4 linked regions of the Lonchura striata genome follow. The protein of the gene in region 1 interacts with the protein of each later gene in a biochemical or structural test. Links are inferred from orthologs where the notes say so. Each region holds a gene or a part of one and is shown in the gene's direction. Other genes may lie near its edges.

Region 1 (7,255 bases):
AGGCTGATGTGAGCAGCGAGAGAGCTGTGAGGACGGAGGAGGGAGCATCACTGGCCAGGGTGAGTTGTGCCATGGTCTAACCCAACTTAAGCCCCTCCCAGACAATTTCATGTCCCTCAGGGTTCCCATGCAGCAGTGCCATCCCTTCTGAGTGCCCAGACCCGCCTGGTGCTTGCAGGGCCAGCACTGCAGTCACTTGCCTGCAAATCCTGGGGCAAGGCAGGGAGGGGATGACCCTCAAGCCTCATCCAGGCTACAGGGATGATTCAGAGGGCCAGGAGGGCATCTTGGTGATAGCCACTGATGGGGTGGTGCTGCTCCTGCAGGAGTATGGAGTGCCTTTCATGGAGACGAGTGCCAAGACGGGCATGAACGTGGAGCTGGCCTTCCTGGCCATTGCCAAGTGAGTACCTGGGGCCAGGGCACTGAGCAAGGAAGGTGTCCCCTGCAGCCCCAGCACCTCCCACACACCAGCACAGTGTGGGAGAGGGTAACACAGCCCCACCACCCTAGGGAGCTGAAGCAGCGCGCGGGGCAGCCGCTGGATGAGCCTCACTTCCAGATCCACGAGTACATCGAGTCACAGAAGAAGAAATCCAGCTGCTGTGCCTTCTCCTGAGGGTGGCCCAGAGGAGCTGGCAGGCCTGGGGGCCCAGGTGGGAAGCAGAGTGGGGCCCAATCCTGCCCTCAAGCACCAGAGGGAACCAAGTTCTGACAAGCCAAGGTGGATGGCACAGTACAGTGGAGCTGAGTCCATGAGGAGAGCCCTTGTCCTGGTGCTAGGATTCAAATCCTGCTGCCCTGCAGAGCAACGACCTGTGTGCCACCGTGGGAATCACTATGGTGTGGTGACTGCCAGCCTGGCCAGCAAGCCATGGTGATCCATCACCTCCAGCACATGAGCAGGGTGCAGGACACAGCCACACACCTCACTGAGACCCTTGGAGCAGTTGGAGGGGCTGTGCCATGGATGAGCCTCCCTGCAGCCTCTAGCCCTGTCCTCCCTTGCAGCTATTCCTGCTCACAGTGCTGCTTCTGTCCAACTGGAAGGGCCTGGTCCAGCCCCATGTCCCTGGTGCTGCCAGGCTCTGGCTTCCCTCCAAGGAACATCAGCTCTGTCCCCCGGGCTGCCCCACACCCCAGTGCCCACAATCAGCTGTGGCTCCTCATTTCTGCAGTTGCTGCCAAAGGCTTTTATCCTCCTGCTGCCACAAATGCAATGATGTCCCCATTGTATCCTGGCTCTGCTCGAGGGAAGGGCTGGGATGGGGAAGGGTCCAGCCAAACCTGCTCCCTGCCCACACAGCTGGTGTGAGAAGTGAAATTCCCCTGGGAGCATCCGAGCAATGCTTGGGGCACTTCTGGTACAGACAGCAATTTGGAAAAACTTTGCTCCCCCCATGTTGTAGCCACAGAAATTACAGAAATTATTTTTTTAAACAAGAAAAGGCTTTTCCATTTCAGTGCCTCCAGACTGAACCATCTCCAGCCTCATGCAGGAGATGCCCATGGTGGCATAACTTGGGGTGTTGCTTCAGCCCTGCCACCTCCCAAGCCAGGCTGGGTTTCTCTCCCATCACTGTCCACGTAACACAGCTATGCCTTCCTGCTATTAGCAAATAGCAGCTGGAACTCACTTTCTGGAGACCAGATGCCCGAGAGCCTTCAGCCAGCAAACACTGCTCTGTTGGGCACTGGTGAGGCTCAGGGACATCCCTGGTGCTCAGCCCAGCTTTGCTGCTCCCTCAAGCACACTGTCCATTCCCCTGAGCACTACCCAGAGCAGTCAGATGGTGAATATTTAGTTATGTAGCTGAAGCACTGATCCAGAGAGCAGCTGTGCAGGGTATGGCACTGCACGTAGGAGTCAGGGACTGTCCAGCACATCTGTCCCCATCTGCATCTTCCCTGGCCCTGCACCTGACTGCTCACATCTCGCCTGCCCCGGTGCCTCCTTCACCTCTGCTCTGCCCCTGGGTCTCTCTTTGCAAGTTTACAGATTAAAGCTGGGCATTTTTTGAGGCTTTGCATCTGTCGGATTGTTTATTGCGTGAGAAATCCCTGCCCTGGGGCTGCAACGTGGGAGGCTGCTGCACACAGGCGCTGCAGAGCAGCCGGGCCGGGGGCCCTGGGAGCAGCCCTGGGGAGGGGGAAGCACCCAGGGCCCCTTCCTCCCTTCCTCCCTGCCGGGGAGGGCTTTCACTGCACATTTCAGACAGACCAAAGGTGAGAGGGGAACAGTAAACATGGCCTGTTAAATTAAAACCAACCTCCTCCCCTGCTGTTCTCATGGTGCGGAGTCCAGCATTCCCCAAATAACTCCGTCTTCCCACCAATGGCATTGCTGCTGCCGCTTGGCTGATGTCTGCAAAAAAAAATGCTGGATGGCTTCAACACAAACGGACATTGGCTCTTTTCTCTTTCCCCGCTCCTGCCTGAGCTCCCTTAACTTCACCCCAAGATGCAAAGGGCAGGAGGAGGCAGCCTGGGGCGCGACCGTCCTGCCTGTGCCCTGCCATCCCGCAGGCATTGTTGGACCCAAAAGCAGCTTCAGCCGTTTCCTTTGCTCTTGCCTTTCTTCCTTATCACGGTCCCGTGCTCAAACCAGCCCTGCTGGAGCTGGGTTTTGTTTCCTGACTGAGTGCAGGGTACCCAAAATGTGCTCTTTCCAAAACGCTCACTCGTGGGGCTGTGCTGCTCACAGCCCCCTTACCAAGGGGCGGCTGTGACACGGGCGATAGCCCCCCGTACTGGGGCTCTACCACAACACCAAGGGCTTGCCCTGCTTTTCCTCTCCGAAGGCATTTGTCGCCGGCTGCCGTGGGATTCCTCTCCACCGCTTTTCTCAGCGGCGGCCGCGGGCGAATGCTCAGCCGAGTGGAGGAAACAAATGAGCCCACCCTGCGCTCCCAGCTGCGTCCCACGGAGCTGGAGCACGGCCACCCCGAGCACACAGGGGGCTCTGCGGCCACTGAGGTCCCTGAGCAGGGTTTTGGGGCAGAGAACCTTGTGAGAGATGTGTCTCATGGCATGCAGCTGTCCCCTCCTTGCTCGCCTGTCTGCAGCTCAGTTAAATGTGATCCTGGCTGCCCTGAGGATCTCTGCCCAGGAACTTCAGCCAGGCCCTGCACTGGGAGCCACCTCTGTGCCACCCACCTGGGACAATCCCAGGAGGCAGCTCCGCCTGGCACCAGCAGCCCTGCGGCACGGCCGGAGCAGCCCAGGGTGGTTGCTGCCTTGCTCTGCCCTGGCTGAGCCCAAACCCCAGGATCTCACATGCTCATGGCTCCCTGCAGCTACTTCTGCTTCTCAGTCCATGAGCAGAGAACATGCAACCAGGGCAGAGCAAATCCCCGGGGTTCCCTCCATCTTCTCCCACCTCGGACCCCCAGCTCTAGGGTGCTGAGCAAGGTTCAGAGGCAGCTGGGGAACAGTGCTGGTGTCTCATTTCCACTGCAAAGCGAGTTACCTTCCCTCTTCAATGCCTACTTTCCCGCACAGTTTCAATTTAGGGATCTTATTTTACTTCTTTTTATTTTACTTCTTTTTATTTTACTTCGAACATCTCTCCACCCTCTACATCGGAGCAGCGCTGGGACAAACTGCAGCCTTCAAGGACTGGGCAAGGGTGTGGGATGGATGTTCCCCGAGAGGCCACCCGGGATGTGTCGCGGAGCGGGAACAGCTGGGAGCGTCCCGGTCTCCGGCCGTGCTGGGGGCTGTCTCCGAGACAGAGCCGATCCCCGGTGGGGGGAGTTCAGCGAGGATCGGGAGTTGGCGCCGTGGGCTCGGGTGGCACCGGGGAGTGGCCCGGATCACGGGGGAGCGATGGGAGCCCACGGAAGCGGTCCGGTCCGGTCCGGGGCACGCACCGCGACCCGGCGGCGCCGCGCCCCGAGCGCCCGCCGGGGCCAGAGCGCACCGGGACACCCGGGCCGCCCATATTTGCATAACCGCGCCTTTAGATTTGCATAGACACGCCCCTCGCTGTCCTAATTTGGCGGGCATCAGCCCACCCCGCTCTCCGATTGGCGGCCGCCGACCCCCGCGCCCCGCCCCCCTATATAAACCGTGAGGCGGGCGCGTTGCCGCGCAGTGCGCCGAGTGCGGGCGGCGGGACGGGCCCGCTGCTGCTCCCGCCGCTTCCCCCGCCATGAGCAGCGGCGCGGGCCCCGCCGCCCGCCTGTGCCGCCTGGAGCGCGGCCCGGATGGCTACGGCTTCCACCTGCACGGCGAGAAGGGCAAGCCGGGCCAGTTCATCCGGCTGGTGGAGGCGGGCTCGCCGGCCGAGCGGTCGGGGCTGCGCGCCGGGGACCGGCTGCTGGAGGTGGACGGCGAGAACGTGGAGCGGGAGAGCCATCAGCAGGTGGTGGAGCGGATCCGCGCCGCCGCCGGCGCCGTCAGCCTTCTCGTCGTAGACTCGACGGCCGAGGATCAGCTGGCGAGGCGGAGCGGGGCGGGTGCCGAGCCGCCGGTGGGCGGCGGGCAGGCAGCGCCGATGCCGGCGGAGCCCGCGGCGCGGGAGCCTGGCGCTGGCGGCCAGCGGGTGAATGAGCGGCCGGGGACCGGGGCTCGGAAGTTTTCGGGGCAGAGGGTGTTGTCCGAGGAGGCGGGGTTGCGACCGGCCGCGGTCGAGCGGGAGCCGCGGCCGCCGCGTCTGCCCTGGGCGTTGTGTGTGGTTTCGGTCTCGATTCTTTCTTTTTTTCCCTCAAAACCCCGGGTCCTGCCGCGCCCGATTGCTTTGCCTTTTTTATTTTAAATAATTTTTTTTCCTGTTAATGGTCCCGTCTCGCAGCCGTGTCAGTGACGGGCTCATCGGGCTGGTTGGAGCCATGGCTGAGCCTGATGAGTCCTGTGCTGCGGGGCCGGCAAAACGGGGGAGAAAAGCAACAGGGGGAGATTTGACGTGCAGCACAACCTCAGAACTGGGCTGAGGGCGGCTGGCAATAACCCACCCCAAAATACAACAAAAAACAGGTGGCACAGGGTGTTCTTGAGGCTGAGACAGCAGGTATTGGTGGCAGTCGCTCTTGGATTTGAGCGTGTTCCATCTCTGCTGTGGAGTGGAGTGGAGACAGCAAAGCTCTTCCCGGGCTGGGGGCTTGGTCCTGGCAGTCAGTGCCCACGGATGCTTCCTCACTCAGGAATGTCGGCCTTAAGCACGCGTGGGAGTGAGCAGTTGCACAAACAAAGTGATGTAGAAAGGTGAGGAATTGAGAAATAGCTGACCTTTCATGCCCCAAGCGGTTCCTAAGAAACGCTTGGGGCTCTCTGGGAGATAATACTGCTTTTTATTTACCCAGCAAAGATGTGTTTGTTGTTACAACAGACATGTGGATGGCTCCCTGGGCAGAGTCCCCAGTGTGAGGAACATTCTGGGGAAATCTTATGACCTGTTCCCAGAGAGGCTGGTGCAGTGGAGCCTTCCCAGTGTTGATGCAGAGTCCCAGGCAGACCTTGGTGCCTCACTGAGCTGCTGTCACATAGGGTTTTCCTGAGGATTAGGTAGTTTTGAGCTGTATCTCCTGTTGGACTTTGACCTTGTGCTTGTTCCTCTGATTGGGCTGATCCACTGCAGGCACAGCTGTCATTCCTGCCTGGCTAAAACATCACTCCAGCACCTCCTTGATGGGTTTATTTGGGTAGGAACGGCTATGTTCTATCCCTGTTTGCCTGTCTTGCTTGCTGTACCCTGTATCATCCCACATCCCTCACGTGTGGCCCTGTGCTGGACTCCAGTGCTGCCCCGTGCAGGGAGAACGTGCCTGCTCTCCCATATGTCACAGTGCTGCTGCTCCCTCGGGGCTAGCGAGACTGTGCTCTGCTTTCTGCTCCCAGACCTCTCCATGGGCTGGGAAAAATAAAAGGGATGTTCTTAATCCAGCTCAGGTGAGTCCCCTGCCAGGCTTGGGGGCTAAGGATGTGTGGTCCCCAAAGAGGATGGAGCCCTCTCATGCTGCCTGCTGCCTGCTCACTGTGTTGGCTGGAGTGATAGAAGGAGCTTAGGAAGCTGGAGATGCCCCACAGGATTTTGGGAGACAGCTCCAGCTGGAGATACCTCATGGGCTTTCGGGGACAGTCTTGGCTGAAGATTCCCCACAGCCTTGGGGAGCAGGCTCGGGGCACAGCTCATGCACAGTTACTGCTGGCGGTTTCTCTGCTAGTGGTTTCTCTCCTCCCTAGATCAGGAAGCAGGTGACATGGGGTGACATTGCCACAAGGCCCCAGATGGTTTCTCAACAGGTAGCAGCAGGAAATCTTGCGGCTGGGGGCAGGGCCCAGTGGAAAAGTGGGTTTAAAAACGTCGCCCAGGCCAGGCACCCACCAAGCAGGGGGGGAAGATGCTGGGTGGGATGCTGAGCCAAGCCAGAGCAGACAGAAAGGGATTTCTTTAGGAAGGAACACACTGGTGGCCTGTTCCTGGCCACTAGCAGGCAACTGGTGCTGGCTGCTCCATCCCCCCACAGCCCCATCCCATCACTGTGGGCTGGTAGGATTCCCTGGGATCACAGGGGAAGCAGGAGATTTGCACATGTCAGAGTTCTGTTTGCTTTATTGGGCTGGACTTGCCTTTATTTGTTTAACAAGCCTGGAGACGCTCAGGAGCTGGGAGAGCTGCCTGTGGTGAGCAATGTTTACTGTCTCCCAGCTTCCAACAGAATCAATTGTCTCTCCAGACTGTACTGGGTCCTGCATGACTGGGACTGCCAGGGGGCTCGGACCCCCACAGATCCCTGAGGAAGTTGTGGGAGACTTGTCATGGGCTCCTTTTTCATTCCTATCAAACCTTGAGTGTGAAAATGCCCTGATGATGTGGTTTTGAGCCTCCTTGGGAAGCTGATCCATGGAGCCCTGTCTGCGGTGCTGAGCCAGTGTGGTGACACTTTCACACCCCTCAGGTCAGCCTCATTTCCTGGGGCCCTGTGCCGTGGGGGTGTCCCCCCACTGAGAGCTGTGACAGTTTGTCTGCCTCTTTCTTTATTTCCGGAGGCTTCAGCTGCTCGGGAGTGTCTTGAGAAAGTTTCATACAAACCACGCAGTGTTCCCAGGGCAGCACAGGGCCCTGGTACCAGGGCAAGGCATTTGCTACCAGCCCCGGGCTTCCCTCTTGCAAATTTAATGTTAAATTAGAACCCTCCCTGCCAGCAAAGCTCTTCCCTCCTTGTAAAACCTGGGAGAGCCTCCCAGGGCTGGGTTTCAGAGTGTAACAGGGAGCAGTTCCCCCTGTTGCACTGGGGTAGCTGGAGTTTAATTA
Region 2 (7,627 bases), on another chromosome or scaffold:
TGATAGCACACAAACTGTAAACCACGGTGAAATCCATGACCTTATGGAAAGTGCTGCATGTGAGATTTCTTTGCTACCTCACAAATGCACATGTGGATATGGTCGTCATTTAATATCACTGACATGTATGTTACTCTTCTTTCAGGCAAAGGGCAGAATTGTGGTGGTGCCAGGTAATGGTTTTTTGTCATCTGTGTCAGGTCCTGCAATCCTTAGCCTTTCATTGCTAGCCTCCTTGCCCTGGAATCCACTTTCTGATCTGGCTTTCTGAGCCAGAAGGAGCAGCTCCTGTCCTGGTGTGATTAAAGGCCATGCAGCCCGTTGGGGAGGGCAGAGCCCTGTGGCTATTGCTCCCTGCAGGATTTGGGGACAGCTCTGTATCTATGGGAGAACATGAGCCAAGGCTTCTCCCGTCTCTTTTGACGTGCCCGTTGTCCCAAGGGCTGTTTTTTCCCTTTGGTGTACTTGGCTCCTGTCCCTTGGTGTTGAGGTCCCGGGGTGATGTCAGGTCTGGCATGGTGACATCTGCTCGGTGTGTGACATCGGGCTTGTTCCCACCAGGAGGTGGCATCACGGAGCGCAACCTGCAGAGGATTCTGGAAGGCTCCACTGCTTCCGAGTTTCACTGCTCTGCTCGCTCAGCTCGGGACTCAGGGATGAAGTTCAGGTAACTGATTATTTATGCTTATTTTTTAGCAGAACTCTGTGAGGGAAAGGCTAATGAATGTGAACATTAGTTTGTAGAACTGGCATAGATTTCAAACAGCTTCCTGAGTACTAGTTGTGCTTTTATGTTTGGGATCATGGTGCCTGCTGCTGTATTCTGCAGTGTATGAATCCAGCAGTACTCCTCACGAGGACATGTGTTCCATGCAGAACCTGATCCTTGGGGCATTTCTCTTGCTACTGCTGCCCTAGGAGTTTTGAGAGCACTTGGGAAGGCAGGTTGTGGTGTAGTTGCCTTAGAATTTTAACATAAGCAAGTAGGATTTGGCAAGCCAGTGGGATATGCTTCTGAAAATTGAGTGAGGAATGGGCTATATTTGTCCATAGGTCTGCACTTCTTAGGCTTAGGATTATTGTTCTTTCTATTCCTGTCCTAGCTTTGGTTTGGGTGGCACCATCTTTGGCCAATGCTGAAGCTAGGGGAAATATGGGGGTGTTTTTCTTGGTGGATCTTTCCCATCTGTATCGGCAGCAGATCACCACTAATCACTGGTTTTCCTGACAGAAATCCGAACGTTGCCATGGGAGCGTCCTTCTCTGCGCCCGAGTACTCCATAAAGGTGGCGGATGTGGCCAAAGTGAGGACCCTGAACGCGATTGCCAAGAACATTCTGTAGTGGTGGGCACCGTGTGGGACAAGAGCGCAGAGACTGCAGGGTCTGCCCTGGCACACGGACAGATGGGTACTGCTTCCGTCCTCGAGCTGCAGAGGACGTGCACTGGGTGATGGAGCCTGACACCTTTTCCCTTGGCTTCCCCTGAAGTCCCTGGCCTGGAAACTTACGTTGGCCATTTTAAATAAAAGGACTCATTTCCAGATGTTGCAGCAGCAGCTGTTGAGCAGCATCTGGGAGGAAGGGAGGTGAGCAAGCAGGGGGACTGAATTGTATAGCACTGCATGTGATTGTCAAATAAACACTGCAGCTGCCCCCCTCTTGCTGTGCTTTTGCAGAGTTTATGTTTTCAGGTAAGACCATGACCCCTGTTGCATAGCCTGAATTAGGACCCTGCTCTGCCAGAGAATACAATCACATCCAAGATGCCAGGGTGGGAAACACCATAGCCACAGCTGGGAAACAAGGCCTGCTGTGGTCAGCCAGTAGCATAGGTGGGGATTAGAACTGCAGCAGCTGTAAGTAGTGAGAAGCACCTGACTGATTAGATGAGGAAGCTGTGAACCATCCTGGGCTCTGTGTCCTCAGTGCTCGAGGTGGAGATGGTATATGAGATTTCTTGGGAGGACAGTCTGCTTTTTCTAAAGGAGTTTCCAGGTCCTTTTCCCACCATAAAGCATAAACTGCTTGTTTTCCAGACTGTTGGGTCATTGCTGCCTAGTCAGCCTCAGATACAGTTAGTCTGTAAAATACACAGTGAAAGATTTAAATGGTATCAGAGGGAGCATTAGAAGAGTAGAGACCTAGAAGTAAAGCACCTTCATCCTTGCTGCCTGCTCTTCTGTAAAAGATCACAAAGCTGAAGAGAATCCCTCTGACAGACAAGATGTTGGATCTCAGGAGGCAAATGCAGGGTACAGATTTCACTTCCCATCTTCGCAGTAGCTTACAGCTTGTGAGGATGTATGGAAAAAATGTGATACTTGACAAGGTGGAAGCACCTTTGTCACATTAAATAGAGTTATGTTATTGAAAACTTATCATCAAGACGATGTATTTTTAGTTTAAAGGGTACATCCACTTTTTCACATGGATCCATCAGAGGTGTTGGTGTCTCCCAAAACACCTTGGGAACTTAAGTTCTTAACAGAGGAGCTGGGAAGGAAGTGACTGCATAGTGCTGGTGTCAGAGCCTGCTTCAGCACTGACGGATGTGCAGGCTGTAGGAAGAATCCAAACTTGGAAAGAATTATTAAATTCATTATTATGGTCAATATAGAGAGTTCATAAAAGTTCATGGTCATGATTATGGTACTGGTAGCTCAATTATCATGGGGCTACCAGTATCATAATCATGATAAGGTGAGAATATTCTGCTGACCCCGCTGCCTCAGGTTTTCGAACATGGGGTAAGACATGACAAGGCAGAGAAACTCTTCAAGAAGATATGAGCAGTGAGGGCTGGAGGAATTTGGTTGATTGCCTGGCAGAGACCTCTGGGTCAGACTCTGTGTGAGACAGGCTTGAATCAGTGCCTAGTTTTGAAAAGCTGCAACATGCTGTACAACAGATGGATAAAGACAGGGGAGCACAGGGAAACTGGCATTGCTGGCCAAAGAGGTGCTACTTAGATTACTTTGACCTGCTGTGGTCCCAGTGAATGTTTTCTGGGTATATTAGTATATTATTCTGGGAGGAAGAGTTATGGAAGGAGCTGAAGGACAGTAAAGCTTTGTGGTTTTTGGGAGCAGCATGCTCCAGCTGTGAGGGTAGACAAGGTGGGTTATGATTGCTTTGAACATCGAAGAGTGGAATCCCGTGCTGAGGGCAACGCTTCAAGTTTGAGTGAGAGACCAAAGCCAGGGGGTGAGGATGAGCTGTGACCTGTACTAAAAACTGAGACAAGCAATGGGATGGGGCATTATGTAGGAAGGTGTCATAAACAAGTGGCCCCCTTAGGAGCAGTGCTCCAAGTGGTTTTGAGCAAGGCCAGAGGACACCTATGCCAGTGTCAGAAAGAAGAATCGCATCAGCAGTCCAGATAGAGAAGGGCTGAGTGAGTGCTCCATTCACTTCTTACTCATTGCATCTGTTTACAGCTCTCATGAGCAGGGTATTGGTTCTGGCCCAGAGGACGTAGCACTAGGGATAGTTTTATTTACAAAACCATATGGACTTAATCAGACAAATTGCTAATAATTAACCACTGAGTTGGACATTGAGCCTTTCTTTGGTTTTGATGATTCCTGAGGAATTACTCATTGTGTCACCCTTGACTTCTGAGTTATCTTCTAACTCCGTTACAAGAGACAACACAATTGTTGCAGTCACCCTACTGTTCCTCAAGAGCACACCTGTTAAAGCAAATTCAGTTCCAGCCTTAGTAGCACTGTCACCACATGTCCCTGTCACACCTAGGCCTTTCTAAGCAACAAGGGTTCAGTGGCAATCAGTCTCCTTGGGAATCATCCTCTTTCTGTCTCACATGTTGGGGTTACCTTAGAATAAAGATCCAAAGTCTCTTTTATGATTTTATGGTCAGCCAACTGCTGTAACACACATACAACATGGAAATGTGGAAAAGAAAGAAGCAAAAGAATGAATTTGGAAAATCTTCGGGATCTGCAGGCTGGAAATCAGCAAAAGGAATCTGGATCCTGAGGACTCAGACCAGTGCAGCATGTGGTCAGTTCAGGTGCCAGACACTGCAGATTCCCAAGCCTGGGGCACTGCTGGTGTCACAGTCCCCCTTGCCAGGCAGCACCAGCCACTGTGGGACCAGCCTTTGCTGGACTTTTTGTTGGAATTCAGCAGGCTTCTCACCGGAGAGGTCTGTTGCATCCAAGTAATGTCTTTAGCAGGTCCAGACGAGTTTGTGTCTGTCGGTGTGCACTGATCAAGGCTATGGTTTCTGAGCAATGGCTGTGGTGTCCTGCAGTGACTGTGACTTCCCTGTATCTCTCCTTTGGTCTCTTTCTTGGGTCTTCCTCTCCTCCCTTCTGAGCCTGTGCAGCTTCCCAAGCCCTTTTGATCACTGCTTTGGTTTGTAGGGTTGTGCAATAGCACACAGTTAATAAATAACTGTGGGTCATCAGAGCTTTTTGTCCCAAGACCGCTTGAGGGTGTGGGGGGACTTTTGTCCCAAGCGTCTGCCCAGGTGTCTCAGTTGGGCAGAGCGAGAGGAAGGTGCTGCCGTTTCTTCTCCCCTGAGCGATGTCAGCAGCCCTGGAGAAGTTCTGCGGCTCCGTCTTCTGGGTGAGTGACTGCATCATCCCCACTGCCTGTTCTCAGTGTGGGACCCCGTGTGGGGACAGCAGCGGATTCCAGGGCTCACAGCCTGTCCTGCCAGTGAGACTCAAGTGCCAGTGGTCGGCAGAAGTTCTGGGGTTTATCCAGGAGTGCTGTGCACTGCCTGCACAGTGCTCACCAGTGAGCCAGTGACACCTCTCTGACTGAGCTCTGTCCTGTTTTAGCCTTCCTGGGAATGCAGGACAGCCTGTATGGACTTTTGGAGAATTATTTGGCTTCAGCTGCTTCTGCTGGCTTGGCTCCACCAAGGGCTGGTCATTTCACATTCAGGCAGAGAGATGGGGATGGGAGTATCGCTTGGACCTTGGCTGAGTGCTGAAATGCCCAGCCAGGAGGGTGGGTGTTGAAGGGTGGATGCAATGTGGTGGAGCTGGGTGGGCAGAACCTATAGGAGTGTTTGCTTCTGTCCTGTGTGCCAAGTCAGTCAAGCCATCACAAGTGACTTGGTGTTCTGTCCTTGCTGCCCCAGAATGATTCCTACCTCGCTCGTCCGGATGCCGACCTGCCTGTGTGCTTCCAGCAGACTGTGCTGGTCTGGATCCCCCTTGGCTTCTTCTGGATTTTGGCCCCATGGCAGCTCCTGCCCATGTGCAAATCCAGAGCCAAGAAATCCTCTGTGACCAAACTCTACATCATCAAACAGGTAGAGTGGAGCTGAAGGGGCACAGATGACAGGCTGGAGCAGCCTGAGGTGTTGGTAGTATGAGTGGAAAGACTCTGTGCAACAGGCAGGTGTGGGAAGGAGAGATGAGAAATGCGGGAGGGAAGGAGCAATGGAATAGGGAACTATCCGGGACAGAAATGTAAAGGGGAGTCGAGCAGGAGGCATATCTGGGACAGAGAGCATAACAGGGAGGGATGCACTGGGAGGGAGGGCAGAGTGTGTATTGGGGCCTCTCATCTTCTGGCCTGCTGTCTCCCAAACTGAAAATAATGGCAGTGCTCCTGTGGAGCTGTGGCACATTCACAGGGTTGAAAGCTGTCCCAGGCCACGTCTGGCTTGAAGAGGGTGTATTTTATGCTGAACTCTGTTGTCTCTCTTGGTTCCCAGTGTCCCCAATGGGCTGGCCCTCTCTCCCCACAGGTGCTGGCTGCTCTGCTGGTGCTGACGGCAGTGGCGGAGCTGGCCCTGGCATTCGTAGACGCCGAGCAGGGTGCTGTGCCAGCTGTGCAGTACACAAACCCCAGCCTGTACATCGCCACCTGGGTAAGGCTCAGCCAGGAGCGTGCTGTGTGTCACCAGGGACAGGGTGAGACTGCAGCACCGAGCACAACGAGGCTTTCCTAGCACAGAGGTCAGAGGGGCAAGGCTAGCCTGGAAATTGGATAGGCCTAGTCCCAAACTCGTGCGGGTGGTGCACGAGGGTGATATGTTGAGGGCAGATACCTGGCTGTACAGTGCTCACTGCTGTTTTCCTTAAAACTGGGATGATTCTATGCCTGCAAGTGTAGCTGAGCTCTCTGATAGAACCTTACTTGGAAAAGTATGCTTTTCACAGGACTGATTTTGCAATGTGAGCACCAGACCATGGCTTGCTGCTCTGATGTCTCACAGCTTCCTTTACATTGCTGCTCAGTTTTGGGCAGAGAGCCAGGAAGTACCATGGGGTGCCTAGGCAGAGGAGAAAGCTGGCTAAAGAGGATCTAGTGGCTATTAGCTTGGTGGAATATGTGCATGGGTGTTACAGACATCTTGTGTGAGACATGGAGTATTCTAACAGTCTTTTAAAATTCTAACAAATGCTCAGGAGCATTTGTTAAATTTGTTATAAGCAAAACAAGACCTTCATTTGCTTTCCTTATTATTTTGCGATGTCATTTAATTTCACATGCAGAGTCCATGTGAAATGATAAGGCAAGCGGAGTCCCCAGAGAGGCTGCACTGCTGGAATGTGATCTGGGTTCAGTTTCAGGTCTGCAGGCAAGGTGCTGGAGACAGGGTGTGACCCCTTACGGCTTGACATGTCTGAGAATTTGGAGTGAAAACAGCTAGAAAGAGTAGTAGTGCCCTGCTGCAATGTCAGAGTACATTCAAGCTTGATCTTATGTCCTCCTGAAATAAACCTTTGTCCTATATAATTAATTCTGAAGCTCATGAAGGGTTGGTGGTGTGTTCAGGGTATTTAAGGCAGTGAATCCCAGCAGATCATGTGTGCTGGCATCCCAGGACACATGCTCCAAAGGGCACTTTTAGAGCCAGACCTAGGCCTGCCTCTCTGACCGATTTTCCTTCCCCCAGATGATGGTGCTGCTGGTGCAGGATGCACGGCGCTTCTGCTTGCGCAGAGACTCGGGGGTGCTCTTCTGCTTCTGGATACTGACCCTTCTCTGTGGGATTCTGCCTTTCCAGTCGCTCGTCCGGAAAGCCCTGCAGGTTGGGTTTGACAGGAAGCTCTGCACTCCCCCAGGGTCTTCCTCTGTTCTCAAAGAAAGCTTCTTCATACTCTTCTCTTGACCAGAGAGAAGAGTATCACTGGGTGTATCTGTGGTATCCCTGGGGTTCTAGCTGCCCTGGGGACCTTAGGGAACCAGAAAAGACCTGAGAAGGAACTGCTGTTAGGATTCATCCTGTTTCTTGGGGACTAAACACTTATGGGAGGAGGTCAGGGAGAAGCAGGGAGAGGTGGCAAAGGGAAGCTGATCCATGACTCAGAGTGAGTTTTACACTGCTCTATTGGGCTCAGCTAGGGGATGGATCTTGTCTCTGAGTACCAGGGGCCTTGAGACAATCCCCAGCAATAACCCTGGGCTTTCCATTTCTGCAGGAACCAATCTCTGACCTGCCACGGTTTATCCTTTTCTTCATCTCCTACGGGCTCCAGCTACTGCTCTTCCTTGTCTCAGGCTTCTCAGATATTGCTCCAGAAACAAAGGAAATCGGGAAGAAGGTGTGAGGACTACGTGGGACTGGGTTTGGGGCACCACATCCTGAGCATTGTGTGGGGCAGGGCAGGCTCTGTGCAGGCTCCAGGCTCCTT
Region 3 (7,472 bases), on another chromosome or scaffold:
CCCCTGTGGATACATCAGCCAGAGGATGAGTCAGGCCACTGGGTAGTGACAAGCTGGGCTGCCAGCCAGCGGGACAGCCTGCTCTCCTGCCAGCAGTGTGGTGGGACACAACGCTGCCTGTTTGGGTTGTCAGGCTGGCATACGGTCTGCCTTTCTGCCTGGCTTCAGTCAAAAGCATGAAACTCAAACAATGCACGGCTGCAAAGCCTTCTCATTCTGCTATCATAGCTTGCCTTTGGAACACCAATCCCTCCAACATCTTTCAAACAGCTTTGAATTTGATTCTGTCCCTAATGAAATACCATGTAGTGCTCAGCAAATCTTTTATAAAGACTTCAAACACAGTCATCCACAACTTCTTGGTTTTCTAGGTGCTCATCTCAAGGCCCTGGGGTATGATAAGGGTGTCAGCCCTGATATCAATGGCTGCTTGCTAGAAAGGGAAAGGTTATAGTGCTATGTCCTATAAAAGACTAAGCTTTAGGTTGCCTTTGCGTAACAGGGATCAGTACCTACATTTCACCTCAAGATCCATGTTATATCTGCTATTTGGATATCAATGGAAACTGCCCAGTAATCTTCTAAGGGTTTTGAGAAAACTGTATGTTTGTGAACTCCCCAATGCTAAGTGCCCTAAAAATGCAGATGGAGAAACATATTAGTCTGACTGTATTCAAAGTGAAAAGACAGTAAAGAAGGCATAAGGCCACATGATAAAATGCTTACTTAGTGACTACTGGCTTTCTTGTGCACTGAATAAATAGTGAATCTTGTGTGTTTGCACATTTGTGACATCCCCTATGATCTGAATTTATTTCCCCAGAACAATGTATGTGCATAACAAGTTTAACAGTTGGCACTGCCTTAATTTGGCTATTTCCCTATTTGAATAGTTGGTTTTGCTAGATCATTATCCATATGACCGTGATAATTTAGATTTACTAAGTCACACTTTGATTAGTTTGTTACCTATCTTGTTCTCTCCACATGAAAATAGCGTTGCCATAGCAAAATGTTCAATGCATAAATTGGCAGCTGCTCTTTCTGACTCCTAAAATAGAAAGAAGATTATTAAATTAATTACTGTGCAATTTTCCCTTCCCTTTCCTCTCCATGGGCAGTCTCAGACTTTCATGAACACTTCTTTGCCCAATTGTTTCACACTTTTTCATTACTGCATTAATTTCTAATTGCACCCTCAGCAGATAGACTTACAGGTTAATTTGGCTTTCAGAATTTTTTTAAATGTTATTTTCCCTTTTCCTTTTAGTTTTTTCTTCTCCAAAACTTTTTTGGAAGTGTTTTGTTTCGGACTTACGAGTAAACTAAATATTTCAAAATCAGTCATAATGATGGCAAATTAAAAATTTATTTCTTGAGGATTGCTTTTTGTCCTTTTTCTATCATCACAATAATACTGAAAAAAGGTTATTTTAATATTTTGCTTTAATACTTTTATCTGCATTTTGAAAATAAATTATTAATTGTAATTATATTTATTAATTGTAATAAATTATTAATTGTTCATTAATAGGCTATTATTTCCTTCCCCAGACTAAGAAATGTTTGGGTAATCTTTCATTGCAAATCTAATTCACAAAGCTGAAATCAGCCTTAAGATTTACATTTTCCTTTCTCCCTCTTCCTGACCCAATCTTTATTGGCATTTTGGGACTTACACTATGCTGTCATACCTTTTAATTCACTCATGAGTATTTAATGAGTGAAAGGTCACAAGGATGATGAAGGGAGTCTGAGACAAATTTGTCTCAGAGAAATCTAAACCCGTCAAATTTTACTGATGGGCAGAGCTTTTCTTTACAAATTTTGGGAGATCCTTTAAATTTATTATCCAGGCTCTGGAATATAGGGATTATTTCATTAAAGACTGCCCTTTCAAACCACTGCATCCTTTCCACAAGCTTTTTTCCCTTGTTTTTATCTGGGAGGATCTAGAGAAAGCCATTGACAGGTGTACTACTTACTGTTCATGAAATTCTGTGACACATCGTCCATGCATGAGCAGTGCAGGCTGTTTCCAGCTCCATCAGTGCTCATTGACAGCAAGCTCAAGCTGGATTTGTCTGACATACGGTTATGACATTCATTCAAGCATTAACTGATGCTATTTATTCAACACTATAGTGTAGCCCCAACCCTCTTTTATCTCAACAACGTGTCAACTCTGATGTGTATAATTAAAGTCAGATGCTACCCCTGTCAATAGTTTCACTGTCAATACATATAAGCAGGAAGAGAGAGGGTTGGTTGCTCCTGGGGACATGAAATGAATATACAGAACATAAGAATGGAGTTTGTTTTGCAGCTGGCTCGGATTGAGGAGTCTAGGAGATCAGGGTTGTGATTAGTTACTCAAAATCTAGTTGGAAGTCAGCAACTAGTGGTGTACATCAGGTGTTAACATTAGGTCCAAAACTATCTGACATCTTCATAAATGATCTGTAGGAAACAGAGGGCTGACTCAGCAAGTTTACTGATGATCACAGAATCACAGATCCATTAAGCTGGAGAAGACCTTTGAGATCCTTGAGTCCAACCTATGGTGGCCTAACACCACCTTGTCAACTAGATGTGGCATCAAGTGCCACATCCAGTCTTTCCATAAAGACCACCAGGGGCGGTGGCTGATCAGTGACTGATAACACTCCACAGAGCTGTGCTGCCATCCAGAGGGACCTCAACATGCTGGAAAAATAGGCTCATAGGAACTTCATGAAGTTCGAAAAACAGAAGAGCAAAGTCCTGCACCCAGGGAGTAACAACCCCAGGCACCACTATGGGCTGGGGGCTAGCTTGGGGTCCTGGTGGACACCAAGTTGAACATAAGCCAGCAATGTGTCCTTGTGGCAAAGAAGACTAATGATATGCTAGGATGCATTAGAATGAGTATTTACCAGCAGACCTGAGGTGATCTTTCCTCTCTACTCAGAAGTGAGGACCACCTGGAGTCCTACATTAAGTTATGGGCTCCCCAGTCCAAGAGGGACATGGACATACTGGAGAGACTGCAGTGAAAGGTCACAAGGATGATGAAGGGAGTCTAGTAATCTTTCCTATGAGGAAAGGCTGAGAGGGACTGGAGACCAGGCTAAGAGGGGTCTCATTAGTGTGTATATTGATGAACAAAGGACAGAACCAAGTTCTGCTCTGTAGTACCCAGTGACAGGACCAGAAGCAATGGGTACAAGCTGAAACACAGCAGGTTCCATCTGAACATCAAGAAACACTTCTTCGTTGTGGGGGTGACTAAGCACTAGCATAGGTTGCCCAGAGGGGCTGTGTATACTATGGAGAGTATCTCCATCCTTGGAGATACTCAGAAGCTGCCTGGGCATGGCACTTAAACAGCAGGGATTGGACCAGCTGACCTCCAGAGGTCTCTTGCAACCTCAGCCATCCTGGATTTTATAGACTGCAGAGAAATAAAAGCATGGCAGGGAATCATTCTGCCACAGAGATTAACAATTCTTAGGTTACTTCAGGTACCTGTCCTGCATTTTCTGCTTTCCTTGCAGTTTTCGCTCTTCTTCATCAGGGTCCCTTTGGCAGGCCATAGGTGAGGTGACTGGAGAGGAGGCTACCTGCTGAACCTTTAGAACTGTCAATTTCAGTGATACGCCACGTCCTGAAATTAATTCGCTCCTTTATTATGTATCGCCAACCTCTCCTAAACATTGTTCTTATGGTTTGGTTATCGATTTCTAATAGAAGAATATGCAATATCAGGGAAGGAGCGCTGACAGCAAGCGTTTGGTCCCGCTAAGTCTGACTTGCCCTTGACTCGTGAGGGATTTTTCTGTCCAAAAATCCAGCGCCACCTCGCCTGGCGCTGCGTGCAGCGAGGAGATGCTTTCCATCAGCAAGGGGCACACACAGGTGCGAAAGCGGGGGGAGCAGAGCCTGCCGGCCAGGGGCTCGGTCCGCACTGAGCCAGCCGCAGCGGAGCGGCTCCGGCGCTGCCCGGCACCTCCTCGGGCGTCGCGGGGAAGCCGGGCCGGCAGGAGGCGTCTTGTGGCGGCCAGCCGGAGGAGGAGGAAGAGGAGGAGGAGGAGGGCCGAGGCGGGGGTGCTGGTTCTCCCGGAAACAGCGCCGGCCGGCGGCGGAGCAGCGGCTGCTGGCGGTGGGAAGTCGCCCGTGGTCCTGCGCCCTCGCCGCACGCCGGGCGGGTCGGGGCGGCGTGGCGGGCGGCATGGAGCCGGTGCCCCGAGAGGAGAAGCCTAACCCGCTGCAGGATGCCAACCTCTGCTCCCGGCTCTTTTTCTGGTGAGCGCCCGGGCGAGGGCAGGGGGGAGGGCAGCGCTGGAGGCGCGGCGCCGGGCACAGCGCCGCTGGCTTCACCTCGCCCGGCCGCTCGGGAGTGCCCAGGCTCGGCTGAGGGTGCCCGGCTCGCACTTGAGCGCGGCTCCCGGAGCGTCCGGGCGCCGGGAAGGGAAGCGGCGGCCGGCGCTGCCCCGCTGCTTGATGATTGTGCAGGCGCGGCTCGGGCGCGACCTGCCGCCCGCCCCCGCGGGCCCGGCTGCCAGCGCTGCCCGCCCGGGTAGCCCCGGGTCGCAGGTGGGCTGAGGTCTCCTGAGGTGACGCCGGCAGCCCGCGATAATCCCCGGCTGCGGTCTGCGGACGGCGCAGCCGGGGGCCTGCCTGTCGGCGCGGCGGCGCTCCGCCGGGCGGGCGGCGCCGAGCGCGGCCCCGTCGGCCCCTCGGAGCACATGTTTGTTCCCTCGGTAGCTGCGGGGAGGACGGGAGCGCCTTTTGCTTCCTGGCCCGGGCAGCCCTGCCGGGGACTGGGTGCAGGGCTGCTCCCGGGCATTCTTGTGATTCCCCGTTTGAATAACGGGTCGCGGGCGGGGATTGCTCATCCCGGCGTGAGGCTTTGCCCTCCGGCAGTGAGGTGGTTCTGACCCGTGTGGCTGCGTGGGAACTCCCCGGGGTAAGGGGTGGCGGGGCAGCATCCTGGCTGCGCTCGCCCACGCCTCTGCTGCCCCCGCTCCGGAGGGGCTTGGGTCTCACGGAGCGAGGGCTGGCGGTGTTGCCACAAACTGTACGGGGCCACAGGGCTCCCAGCCCAGAGTTAGTGCTTGGTCTTCTTCTGGGGACCTCGGCGTGGGTATCTATGTGTACTCAAAGAGGTGAGGAATTGCAGCTCGGCGTTTTAGTTGCTTTGAACTGTAGTAGGAAAACATTTGCAAAGTAAAACGGGAGAGCACCAAACTTGTTTGTCCTAGCAGATCCCATTTGGAAGAGCACTTCCCGAGAAAGTTCTTATCCTGCTTCACCGGCTGCAGCCTGAACCAGGGTGCACATGTTGTGTGGTGGAGGAGGGGGAAGGAAGGGAGGGCATGGCAGGTGAAGCTCTTTTTTTGGAAGCCTCTGAAACACAAATTAAAAACTCTTTGATTCTATAAGCAACTCTGAGCAGGTGCAGAAGTCCCCTTTGGAAGGTAGTGGGGTTTTAAAAACCCTGACAAATTTTAACTAAACTTGTTTATCAGTCAAAGATATATCTTCAGAGGTACTATTTGCAAAAAACAAAGAAAATAAGTAAGTAATAATAAAAAAGGCAGCTTGTATGCTGGTGCAGAACTCCCTGTGTTCAGGATTTTGACTTTTCCCTTTAACACCAGGGATGCCTGTGTTGGAAACAGCTTTGTTGTAAAATCCAAGCAGAATGGGATGAACCTAAGTTGGCCATGTAGCATTCCACAACTGCTTCTGGTCTGTTCCCTTTCCCTTGCTGGAATCTTGTGGTGTTACTGGTAGTTCTGCCAAAACCAATCCAGCTAGATGTGATGCAGTGCTCATAGCCAGCTTTCTGACTGCTTGTATCATTCTTTTTGTGGCCTTCTGTATCACTCTGCATTGTTTTTAGGTTCTTACTTTGCTAAGGGAAAATAGGTGGAAGGCTGTGCTTGGGGAATGACAGCTCTGCTCAGAGTCCAGAGATCAACTAGGACTTGAGACTTCACAGTCAGATGCTGGTGTACAACCATAAAGCTTCTGCTTTGGAAAAGCATTTAGTGGAGCATGTAAAGCTTTAGAATTTGCCCAGTGTCCTGCTTATCAGGCTTTTATAGCAGTGTAATTCAAAGCAGTGAAAATAGCCTTCTAAAGTCTTGTCTCTTACCTGTGGTGCTTGTGATCACAACTAACATGGGTATATTAGTCAACAAGCATTAGTGTTTTCTGGGTGTACATTTCAGCTGAAATGATACCTTCATTCTTCTCCACTGTTTAGCCTGGTCAAAATTGAGCCTTGTGGTAAAACTGAATAAGCAGGGGCTGTCAATTTTCTGCAAAAAGTTTTGCATAAAATTCAGGAAGTGTTAAAACACCCTCTCATTTAGCTATAAAGCTAACTTTAAGGGTAACTCTTAGAATTACTCTCCCTTTCTATGAGTGTAGCATCTCCCAGCTGTGTGAGTACTGCTTCATTTTAGCTCATGTCTCACACAGGACATTCTGAGATGTTTTCATCTGGACAACCAGGAAAACAATGCCTGAGGAAGGCCATCCTGTGAGTCCTAGCAGCCACCACCCTGTGGTTGTGTGCCTGCTCTGCTCTTCACATTCCAGGTGTTGTCTGCTTGTTGTCAATGAGGGTAAAAATATGGCATTGCAAGCAGCTTGGCAAAGGTCCTTCTTATTTTTATTTTCTTTGTATTTTTCTCCAGAAGCGCAGTTTTGCCATTGTGAGGAACCACCCTCCCATTTGTTGCCAGCGGTACAGAATAAAAGCTTACATTATTGCCTGGTGCAAACAGGGCAAACTCATGGGAGAAAAAAAGTCATGTTTTCATTGAGTTATAAATCTCAGGTAATGAGTGTGTAGGCTGACGAGACATTCTTCTTCCGTTGTTTGAAGCTTGGCTTCTTGATTTTGGGTTGTGACTTTAGCAAGTATGAGCTTGATGAACATTAAACACTCCAGCAGTAGATTCATGGGAAAGAGGAGCATCTGGATTGTGTGTTAATATTGTTACTTTTATAATGCATCCCTTGTGTAATGTTACAAGAATGAAAACTATTTATGAAAGAAGTGTGAAGATCAGGGCAGTTGCAAAATATTGTTTCTTGTGTCTTTCACTGAATTAACAGAGGTTTATCAAAGCCCAAATTGGCCTTCTGAATGTTTCAGATATTATTGTAACTCCTGACTTTCAAGAGTCACAATTTCCATGCCCACCAAACCTTTTAAAGCTCTGGCTGGTATTTCAGTTATAGTTAGGCCTGCTTGTATTCCTGATTTATTTCATCTATGTTGTTAGGTTGTTGGTTTTTTTATTGCTGGCTCAGTTTGCAGTGAGAAGGAGAATTATGAAGGATGGATAGAAGGGTTTGCTTTCTTTTTAACTTTTGTCCAAGGAAGAGAGACTTCAGCTGTGTTTTTCATGTTTAAACAGCTATTCAGTTGCAGAAAGTTTAGGGATTGAAAAAGCCTTATAGGCCCCCATGCA
Region 4 (8,134 bases), on another chromosome or scaffold:
TCATGTTTAAACCTGCCTTTACTTTGAGTAATATTTTATCTGTATTTTACCTACCACTAAGTCTTGCATTCCCCATCCATTGTAAATAATTTCTCAGTCTCATTGTACACAAAATGTAAATGCCAAATTATATTTTGTTTTAGTTGAAAAGAAGATTTTATTGCACACTTTGCATCACACCCTGTGAAAGTTTCCTGTGGAAGAAGAATGTGTTACTAGAGAAGTTACTAAGACAACTCTTATGGGAACTGAAAGCAAACTGTGTTTAGGCTTCTTACAACTTATTGAGAAGAAACCTAATCTCCCTTTAAGCTTTTCTCTCCTTTTATGATGGGTAAGAACAAACCAGATAAAAGCCTGAAGTCTTGTCTGATTATTTTTCCTTCTTACAACATTTTAAAATAATCTTTCATAAACTTAATTATATATACTTTTCTTCATAATTTACCATGTCCTCGTAGGGCTCCATGATGGTCAATCAAAGAGTCAAATAATCCCAAGGACTACCTGAGGGTGCTGCTGGAAGACAAACTGATGATTAGGATCATCGATTAGGAAGGCAAAGATAAGGATCTCCCAGCATGTAACCACTGGATCATTGAATGAGGTTTATTTCCAGGCCTGAATGCACCTAACCTCTTGTTGGTTCAGGAAAAAAAAAAACTCAATCTACGCTTACTGGAAAAAAAAAATAGCAAAGCAACAAAAAACTGAACCTGGCAAGAGTAGCTTTTCATGTAGGAACAATAAGCAACTGAACTTGGCAGCAGCTTCTCATAGGAACAAGCAAAAATGAGGCACAAGCCTTGTGCTCTTTTACACCATTTATCCTCTTCATAAGAAACCCAGAGAATGTCTCAAGACATTGGCTTTGCCAATAGATGCTGGTCCACTGTGACCTCATTCTGTCAAGTTTTCAGTAAGCTCAGTGTGGGTAGTGGGGAAGTAGCTCTCAGTGCAGAACTACATCTCACCAGGTCCTTGGTCACTCTTCCTGAAGTCTGACATTTCAGGAATTATAATGCCAAAATTTCAGAATGTGCAATGTGTAATAAACTGCTTATTCAGCTATGCACAATGAAAAAGAAACTATTGTCAGTAATCCCATGTGGTTCTTTTTCCTCTTACAGCTCTTCCAGTTCACAAAGAAAATCAAAGACTCTTGACTGTCCTACATGAGAGCAAATCTCCTTAAATCTATGTATGTCTCAGAACGTGGCATCCTTTCCATTAACTACTCTAATGAATGTCCTTTCTTCTAGCTTCTATACTAAATGCATAGTCTGTGAGTTGTCAAGAGGACAGTTAGCTGCTATAGGTTTTTGTTAGTAAAAAATCTGCAAACAAACCAACAGAGAATCTGCAAAACTCTTCCAGCTATGCCTTGCCTAACCTGGATGAAATTTTCTATTCAGAGAAACAGGGAGTTTAGATCTCTCTGTTCTTGAGACTATTGATTCTGCATGAGCAAAAAAGAATAATGGATTTAGGGCACAAGATTTCATGTTTCCCAGTTCCAGGATGATCTGACTTAGGAAGTTTTATGTTGACTAAAAATTGGCTGGCACAAAGCCTGTTAAGCAAAAGCCACTTCATAGTGATAGGACTTGCTTGGGCAAACCCAGACAAGTACTTGGAATTCCTAAATTATACACATCAAGTTTAAATCTTATTACAGCTTAAAGGATAACAGGAAAATGAAATTAGTCTTCTCTCTAAAAGAAGGAAGGCAGGCTTAATGAGGATGACACAGTTTGGTTAGGGGTCAGTAAGTCACAGGAACTGTTACAGGGAAGAAGACAGAAACTGGGTTCTGCTACTGACCTGCTGTGCAATTCGGATTCTTTCGTCACCTTCTCTGCCTTATTAATTCCTGTAAATAGTTGGTAATGCTATCCTCTTAATAAAGCAGGTTAAGAGTAAGTGCAGGATCAGAGCAGATCTTAATCCTGTGACTTAAAGGCTTCATTTTGATTTGGATCTTATGCTTAATTGTGAAGTCTGACTGAAAATGATATGGTTAGGGTGGCCATAAAAGCTCTCTCTTGCTTAGCTAATGCCTAAATCCAGAAGTAACCAAGTTCTATAGAGTTGTAATGTGGAATTTTCCCCAGATTGCATATTTGTATATTTTTTTCTATACTTGAATTTCTGCCCCAGGATGTCTTGACATGGGTTGATTGTTTTGTGCCCATTTCACGCCTTCTTCGATACTCCCTCACACACACTCCAAAGGGGATCCAGTCTCTAAGCATTTGTATACAATGCTTATCGGTATTATACACAATGTCCATACTCTCAAAATTCAATATACTAACTTTCAGTGTACTCTCAGGAAATCCAGAGAACTGAGGGCTTTTACCATCACTCTGGAGCAGAGGGGAACTGATTTGTGTCTGGAAAGGATGGGAAAGATTCTGTATAAAAGGGAAGAAGGGGCTTGCATTATATACCTTCCCATCCTTCTAGGGGACAGGTGGGGAGAGAAATAAAAAGGAAGAAGCTGAGTGACCCAGCTGTAGAAGAGAGTTTTGTACTGTCACAAAGACACCTACCTAGCCAAGTCTTCAATAAGGTACTGAGCTCTGCAGGCAAGAGGGTTTGAAAACACACCTAGCATGAGGAAAAAGCCCAGGAAGGAAGCGAAGGGTATCTACGACATACTCCAAACTGGCAATTATTCTGGTTCCTTCCACTGAAGACAATTCTTCCTGTGTAAGCTCAGTATGTTCACAGTGGCTGGTTTTGGGTGGAGCAGTACTGGGCAAGCTGGTAGTTAAGGATGCCATTAAGGTATCTACCTTTCCCCATGTATTGCAGGTGACTGTGGGAAAATGGCACAAGTTTATGTGCTGTGGCAAACAGGAACCTAGAGATTGTATGTTGCCACACATAATTAATAGTCACCTAAATTCCTTTTGCCCCTAGGTTTGTGTGTTTAGGAAGCAATGGTAAGGGTTCGGAAAAAAAAAAACAAAACAACAAAAACCCAACAAAACCAGGGGGTTAAGCTTGGATATGTAACTAACATATGGGAACAAATACTTACCTGACTAAATATGATGTATTAGATCTCTCTCTGACATGGAGTTTCTTCAATGTGAAGCCCCAGAGTGATGGTCTCTGTGCCCATGTTGAGCTATAGACAGGAAAGGATTTTGGGAATATGGGCTTCCCATTAGATCCATGCAATCCTTTGTTTCAAGGGGATGCAGACACACACGTTTGTTTTGACTTCTCTGTTTTCAGTCACAGCCAAAATCTGGATTTTAAGACTATGGCATGAAAATATCTCATCTCTATCCTTTTCTGTCCCCTCCCCAAAATATCTAAGAATGTCACTTAGGGTTCTGAGTGAGAGCTGCAGAAGCTGGGTTCTTACAGCACTTCTTACTTGGAGCGGTTGTTTCTTGTGGTTGGCAGCATACCCAAAACACTCTGATAATTTGGTCTGGTTCATTTCCAGTGTCATCCTGCTGAATAAGGCATGAATCCCACCATAAACTTGTTGCTTAACAGAAGAGCATAGAAAGTGTCTTCACAAATCACATTTTTGTTAAATTAACCCAATCCGAGTGTCGGCATATTTTGTTAACTTAACCTGTAAATCTCAGTGGAATTGTTTCAACTGAAAATGGAGGTCATATCTGTTTCCCAAGGATGTCTGATCCCATGGCCCTTTTCCTGGAAGCTGTTCAGCTTAGACTATTTCTTCTCACCTGCTGTTGCAAGCTGCCACCCCCATGGCTCTGTTTTGATGGTAAAGCTGCCTCTAATCTCTGAGGATCGTGCAACAGAAAAGGAATATTACCATTAATTCTCTCAGCCTCCAACTTGGCTCCCCTCCCCTTTCTTTCACAGACCTGACACAGTCATGATTCTTTTATTTTAATGTGGCACAACCAAGTGCTGCTTGGTGGACTCTGTGGGGGAAGACACCATTTGGAACTCTGCCAAAGCAAGACTTGTATTGTTTGGGCTGTCCTTTTTGTCACCATCCCTTGATATTTCCCAGGCTCTCTCCTGCCCTCTATATTTTCCATGTAGTGGATGTTATTTTTCTGGTTCTATGCCTCCCTGTTCCCATCCTATGTCCTATGCTAAACAGACAGACAGTGGTTGAAGTGGGGTGTTGCAGACAGCAGCTTGGGTACAAGCTGCACAATTTCCTCAATCTCACAGCTCAGCTATGTGCCATTGCTGGCACAGTGCTACAGGCCGTTCGTTGCCCATGACTATGTAAATCAATGTGCTCTTGTGACCAGCCAAGCAAGGAGATGCAGTGGAAGGCCAGCAGCTCCTGGCAGACACTATCACAGAAGTGCATTACGTTCATGGGTGAGGAGGGAGAAGGAACAAGGGGCAGAGAGACAAACTTTGCTTTCTGTATATGCTTATAAATTGTTACGCTACTTGCATGAACTTTTTTAGGCTATACGAAAAGTCAGAACCAGCTGAAGTATACTCTATAGTTCCTGAGCTTAGATGGATTTTCAAAGTTTTCTCTTTTGCTGACATTGCTGAAAATATGCTTTACTACACAAAGCAAGCCTGTGTTTTGCTAAGTAATCAAATTTTCTGACCTCGCACTCCCAAGAAACACAGCAACTATTACAGGCCACCCCTAAGGCATCACGCCTGTGCCGGACGCTTTCCCCGTGCCATCCAGAGGCTTGGGAAGCGCCGACTCCGGCGAGGCCCGAGCAGGTGCGGGCGCGGCGGGCCGGGCCGGGCCGGGGGTCTCCGCGGGGCCGGGGCCGTGCGCGGAGGGCTCCGCACGAGGCCCGCGCGGCCCGGCCGTGCCCGGGGGCTCGGGCGGCGCCGCCCGCGCACCTGCCGCCCGCCCGTCCCTCACGGCGGGGGCTCGGGGCTGCCGGGGCCGCGGTGCCCCCTGCGCGCCGGGGACGTCGAAGCGAAGCCGGCAGGGGTGCCCCGCAGTGGGGCGAGGCCGGTGCCGCGCTCGGCAGGCGCCGGGGGGAGCGGCGGCATGGCCGGCGGCGGTGAGTCACGGCCGGGCCCCACCTGCCGTACTTAACCCGCCGCCGGGCGGCCGGCGCCGCACTCGCGGGCTGCGCTGCCGCCGTGGCCGGGAGCGGCTCCTTCCTCCTACACCTCCTCCGCACGGGGCGCTCGGCAGAGGCGAGGCGGGCGCCGCATGAACGTTTGTGTCGGGAGTAGCAGAAGCAGCAGCTCTCAAAACCCTCAAAATGCCGAAGCCGGTGAGTGGGCGCGGAGGGAGGGAGGCGCTCCGCGGGGTCGCAGCGGGGCCCGCCCGCCCGGCGCTGGGGACTCGCCCGAGCCCGGGTGCCCGGCGGGGCGGTCGCCTCCGGGTGTCGCGGCGCGGGCTTTTGCCGGGCTGGAAGGGCTGAGTCCCGGTCCCTGCTCCCCGCCACTGGACGGGGCGTTTCGACTCGAGCGCCCGGGAAGTTGTGCGCGGCGCCGGGACTCGGGAGCCACATCGGCGGCTGCTCGAGCGGGAGGATCGCTGGGGCGGCTGCCTGCGGACGCAGGGCCGCGGGTGGGCTGGAGGCTCTCCTCGCCGTCCCGCCGCCGGGAAAGGGAGCACGGAGCCCCGGATCTCTGTGCTCCAGAGATCGGGCGGTGGGTTTGCTCCGTCCTGTGCAGCGCTTCCGTGCTAGACATGCACAGAGCTCCCGAGTAACTCTCGAAAGAAGAGCTTTCATCACGCTCCCGCTTAACGAGAAATGCTACAACTGCGCCGGCTGCCATTTAGTATGCTTGTGGCCTATGCATTTATCTACAGGAAGCATGTATGCATCTGTAAAGCATGTATGCATCTATAAAGAATAGGAAGAAGCTTGTTCTCTCCTTGTTTTGCCACCTAAAAAATAAATTCTAGGGACTTTTATTAAAACTTCTCCACGCTGGTCTTTACCAGGCATTATCGAAGACCTGTTTCCTTTTTTGGTTGGACTTTTTTTTTTTTTTTTTTTCCAATTGAACGGTCTTTTTTATCCCTCCTTCTTTCTCTTGACACCACCACCTCCTCACCGCCTCCCCTTCCGACCTTCTAGTGGGTTTTTTTGTTTGTTTTATTTTAAAGTCTGCTGCTACTGTGCCGGTTAGAGACGGTAATTCCCTTGGAGCGCCAACTGCCTAATGCGGCGCTTTGAGCAGTCGTTGGAGCAGACGCACTTTTGAACTTTGAAGAGCATAATCAGAACAGATTGTTGTTACTATGTATTTTCAATAGAGGCAACATTTCTTAAAATGCAATGCAGTGAAGGACTTATGTATTAGCTCACTTAAATGAAATGTGAAATAAGAGCAAACAAGCTTATCTTTGTGGTAATAAGTAATTAATGTTTTATCACTATAACGTTAAAGTTAGTTGAACTTTTGTTTTTTTTAAAGTACTTAGGTTAACTTACATAAGCAGTTTCTACAGACCTACCAAAAAAAAAAAAACAACCCAACAAAAGACAAAAACAGCCAAAACCAAACTGTGCTCAGTCCTAAGAACTGATAAATGTTCAGTCTCTCTGGCTGTATTTCATCAGTAGGAGGTGATATATTGCTGCATATAATAACATCTAACTGAGAGGGCCCTTCTGTAACTGGGAAGCAAATATATAATTTATAAAGTATGGCTATAAAAGGTCGTGTGTGAATAATCTCTTTCTGCCTTGTTAGCTGTTTGCTAATTACAGAGTGCTTTCTTGAAATATCCTGGTTAGAATAATCTGAAATCCTGGTTTAGGACTAAGTCTCACTGGAAGCCATGGATAGGTGTACAAAAACTCTTTAATCTCTTAAAAAAATACAGCTGTGTTTATCCTTTTGCTTGGCAAGGCTAGGTTTGTATTCCCTCAGAGATGGTGATTTTTCTTTGTTTCTTGGCTCAGTAGACAGTGAATAACAAAGGTGGATGGTATAAACCACCATCCACTGGGGAAGGACAGTAGTACTGTAAAGACTTCTGAGATGTGACCTTCTGGCTAGCATTTATGGACAAGACTCTGTGTCAATACTTTCTAAATATAAGCCTTTTTCCTACTTAAACTTCTGTTTAGTGGGGCTAACTGCCACCTTATTGTAAATGAAAAAGAGGTATTTTGCAGAGGCTATTTTAGTAAAACACTCTGTTCAGTCTGTCTGCTTTAGACTGAGACTGGATTTGGATCCTTCCCAACTCAGCTCATTTAATCTTAATACAGCTAAATAGGATTCATGTCAGTTTGCATGGAGGGAGGATGTAAGGCTGTCACTCCAGAGGCAGAACTATGCTTGGGATGAATGTGACAACAGCCTTTGGCATGTGTGAGGAATGATAGCACAACCTCTTGGGATGCACAGGGAAGCAGTGTGTTTCTGCTTGGTATTTAGCATGGATGCTAAATATTTATTACCTGTGCTTGTTTGCATGTGTCTTGTCTACATGCCATAAGTAAATACGGTGTTGCTTGGCAGACTTCATGCTGCTGTGTGTGAAGTCTCACACACACTGGTCGTCAGTTACTTACAAATAAAGATTATGATAACAGAAAGCAAAATTTTGGCAACATCTTTCCCTCTGGCCCCTCCACCCACAACCCAATAAGCTAAACCTTTATATGAAACGATTGATTTAACAAAAATTATAAATGCACACACAAAGCTTATGGATCGTGTTTATAATTTATTTTTTCATAGTAAACAACTAGCAAATCCATTAACAGTAGGACATTAGTGATTTTGTATTTTAATTGAGTACCAAAGTGAAGTGCTAGAAAGCTGACTTCCCGAGTCTGTGATAACATTTGGTCACAATTAGTTGTATCTGATGCATGCTTAATATGCTCAAAATAAATTTTAGTAAAAGTCCAGAAAATAATAATGCAATCAGTATATTTGTTAATATAGACACGTTTTAATATGTAATTTAACACAGCCATTCTGCCATGTGTAGCAGTTACAAAATAATGAGATCTCTCCAAGGTAAGCTATAAATATATAACCTATACCCAGTTCATGAGGGTTTATGGCTGGGAGTTCATCAACAGTTCAGATGCATGATTTCTATCTAATCTGTACAAAGGTTCACTAGGCTTTACAGGTAGTGAATTATTTTGTAAGGAAATGCAAAAGGTGTCTCTTGTCCAAATCTTGCTGTTTTATCTGGAAATTATTGCTA

What was found.
Region 2: the proteins of NHERF1 (region 1) and ABCC2 form a complex in vitro, tested with the Homo sapiens proteins (2 studies listed by BioGRID). The link is inferred for Lonchura striata from reciprocal best matches to the Homo sapiens genes NHERF1 and ABCC2.
Region 3: the proteins of NHERF1 (region 1) and ABCC4 form a complex in vitro, tested with the Homo sapiens proteins (3 studies listed by BioGRID and IntAct, with this or other methods). The link is inferred for Lonchura striata from reciprocal best matches to the Homo sapiens genes NHERF1 and ABCC4.
Region 4: the proteins of NHERF1 (region 1) and EZR form a complex in vitro, tested with the Homo sapiens proteins (2 studies listed by BioGRID and IntAct). The link is inferred for Lonchura striata from reciprocal best matches to the Homo sapiens genes NHERF1 and EZR.

Annotation. Positions count from the first base shown.
Region 1 is NC_134621.1:5,648,620-5,655,874, reverse strand, and holds the start of NHERF1 (Na(+)/H(+) exchange regulatory cofactor NHE-RF1), read left to right. Parts: upstream 1-4,130; 5' UTR 4,131-4,153; coding exon 4,154-4,546; intron 4,547-7,255. Other genes in the region: RAB37 (ras-related protein Rab-37), read left to right, coding at 3-59, 327-403, 514-619. UniProt on the Homo sapiens protein: Scaffold protein that connects plasma membrane proteins with members of the ezrin/moesin/radixin family and thereby helps to link them to the actin cytoskeleton and to regulate their surface expression. Necessary for recycling of internalized ADRB2.
Region 2 is NC_134609.1:18,584,970-18,592,596, reverse strand, and holds the start of ABCC2 (ATP-binding cassette sub-family C member 2), read left to right. Parts: upstream 1-4,459; 5' UTR 4,460-4,553; coding exon 4,554-4,595; intron 4,596-5,118; coding exon 5,119-5,292; intron 5,293-5,733; coding exon 5,734-5,856; intron 5,857-6,888; coding exon 6,889-7,023; intron 7,024-7,414; coding exon 7,415-7,537; intron 7,538-7,627. Other genes in the region: copper homeostasis protein cutC homolog, read left to right, coding at 146-173, 562-667, 1,232-1,343. UniProt on the Homo sapiens protein: ATP-dependent transporter of the ATP-binding cassette (ABC) family that binds and hydrolyzes ATP to enable active transport of various substrates including many drugs, toxicants and endogenous compound across cell membranes.
Region 3 is NC_134604.1:76,662,563-76,670,034, reverse strand, and holds the start of ABCC4 (ATP-binding cassette sub-family C member 4), read left to right. Parts: upstream 1-4,119; 5' UTR 4,120-4,210; coding exon 4,211-4,284; intron 4,285-7,472. UniProt on the Homo sapiens protein: ATP-dependent transporter of the ATP-binding cassette (ABC) family that actively extrudes physiological compounds and xenobiotics from cells.
Region 4 is NC_134605.1:53,569,400-53,577,533, forward strand, and holds the start of EZR (ezrin), read left to right. Parts: upstream 1-4,985; 5' UTR 4,986-5,207; coding exon 5,208-5,219; intron 5,220-8,134. UniProt on the Homo sapiens protein: Probably involved in connections of major cytoskeletal structures to the plasma membrane. In epithelial cells, required for the formation of microvilli and membrane ruffles on the apical pole. Along with PLEKHG6, required for normal macropinocytosis.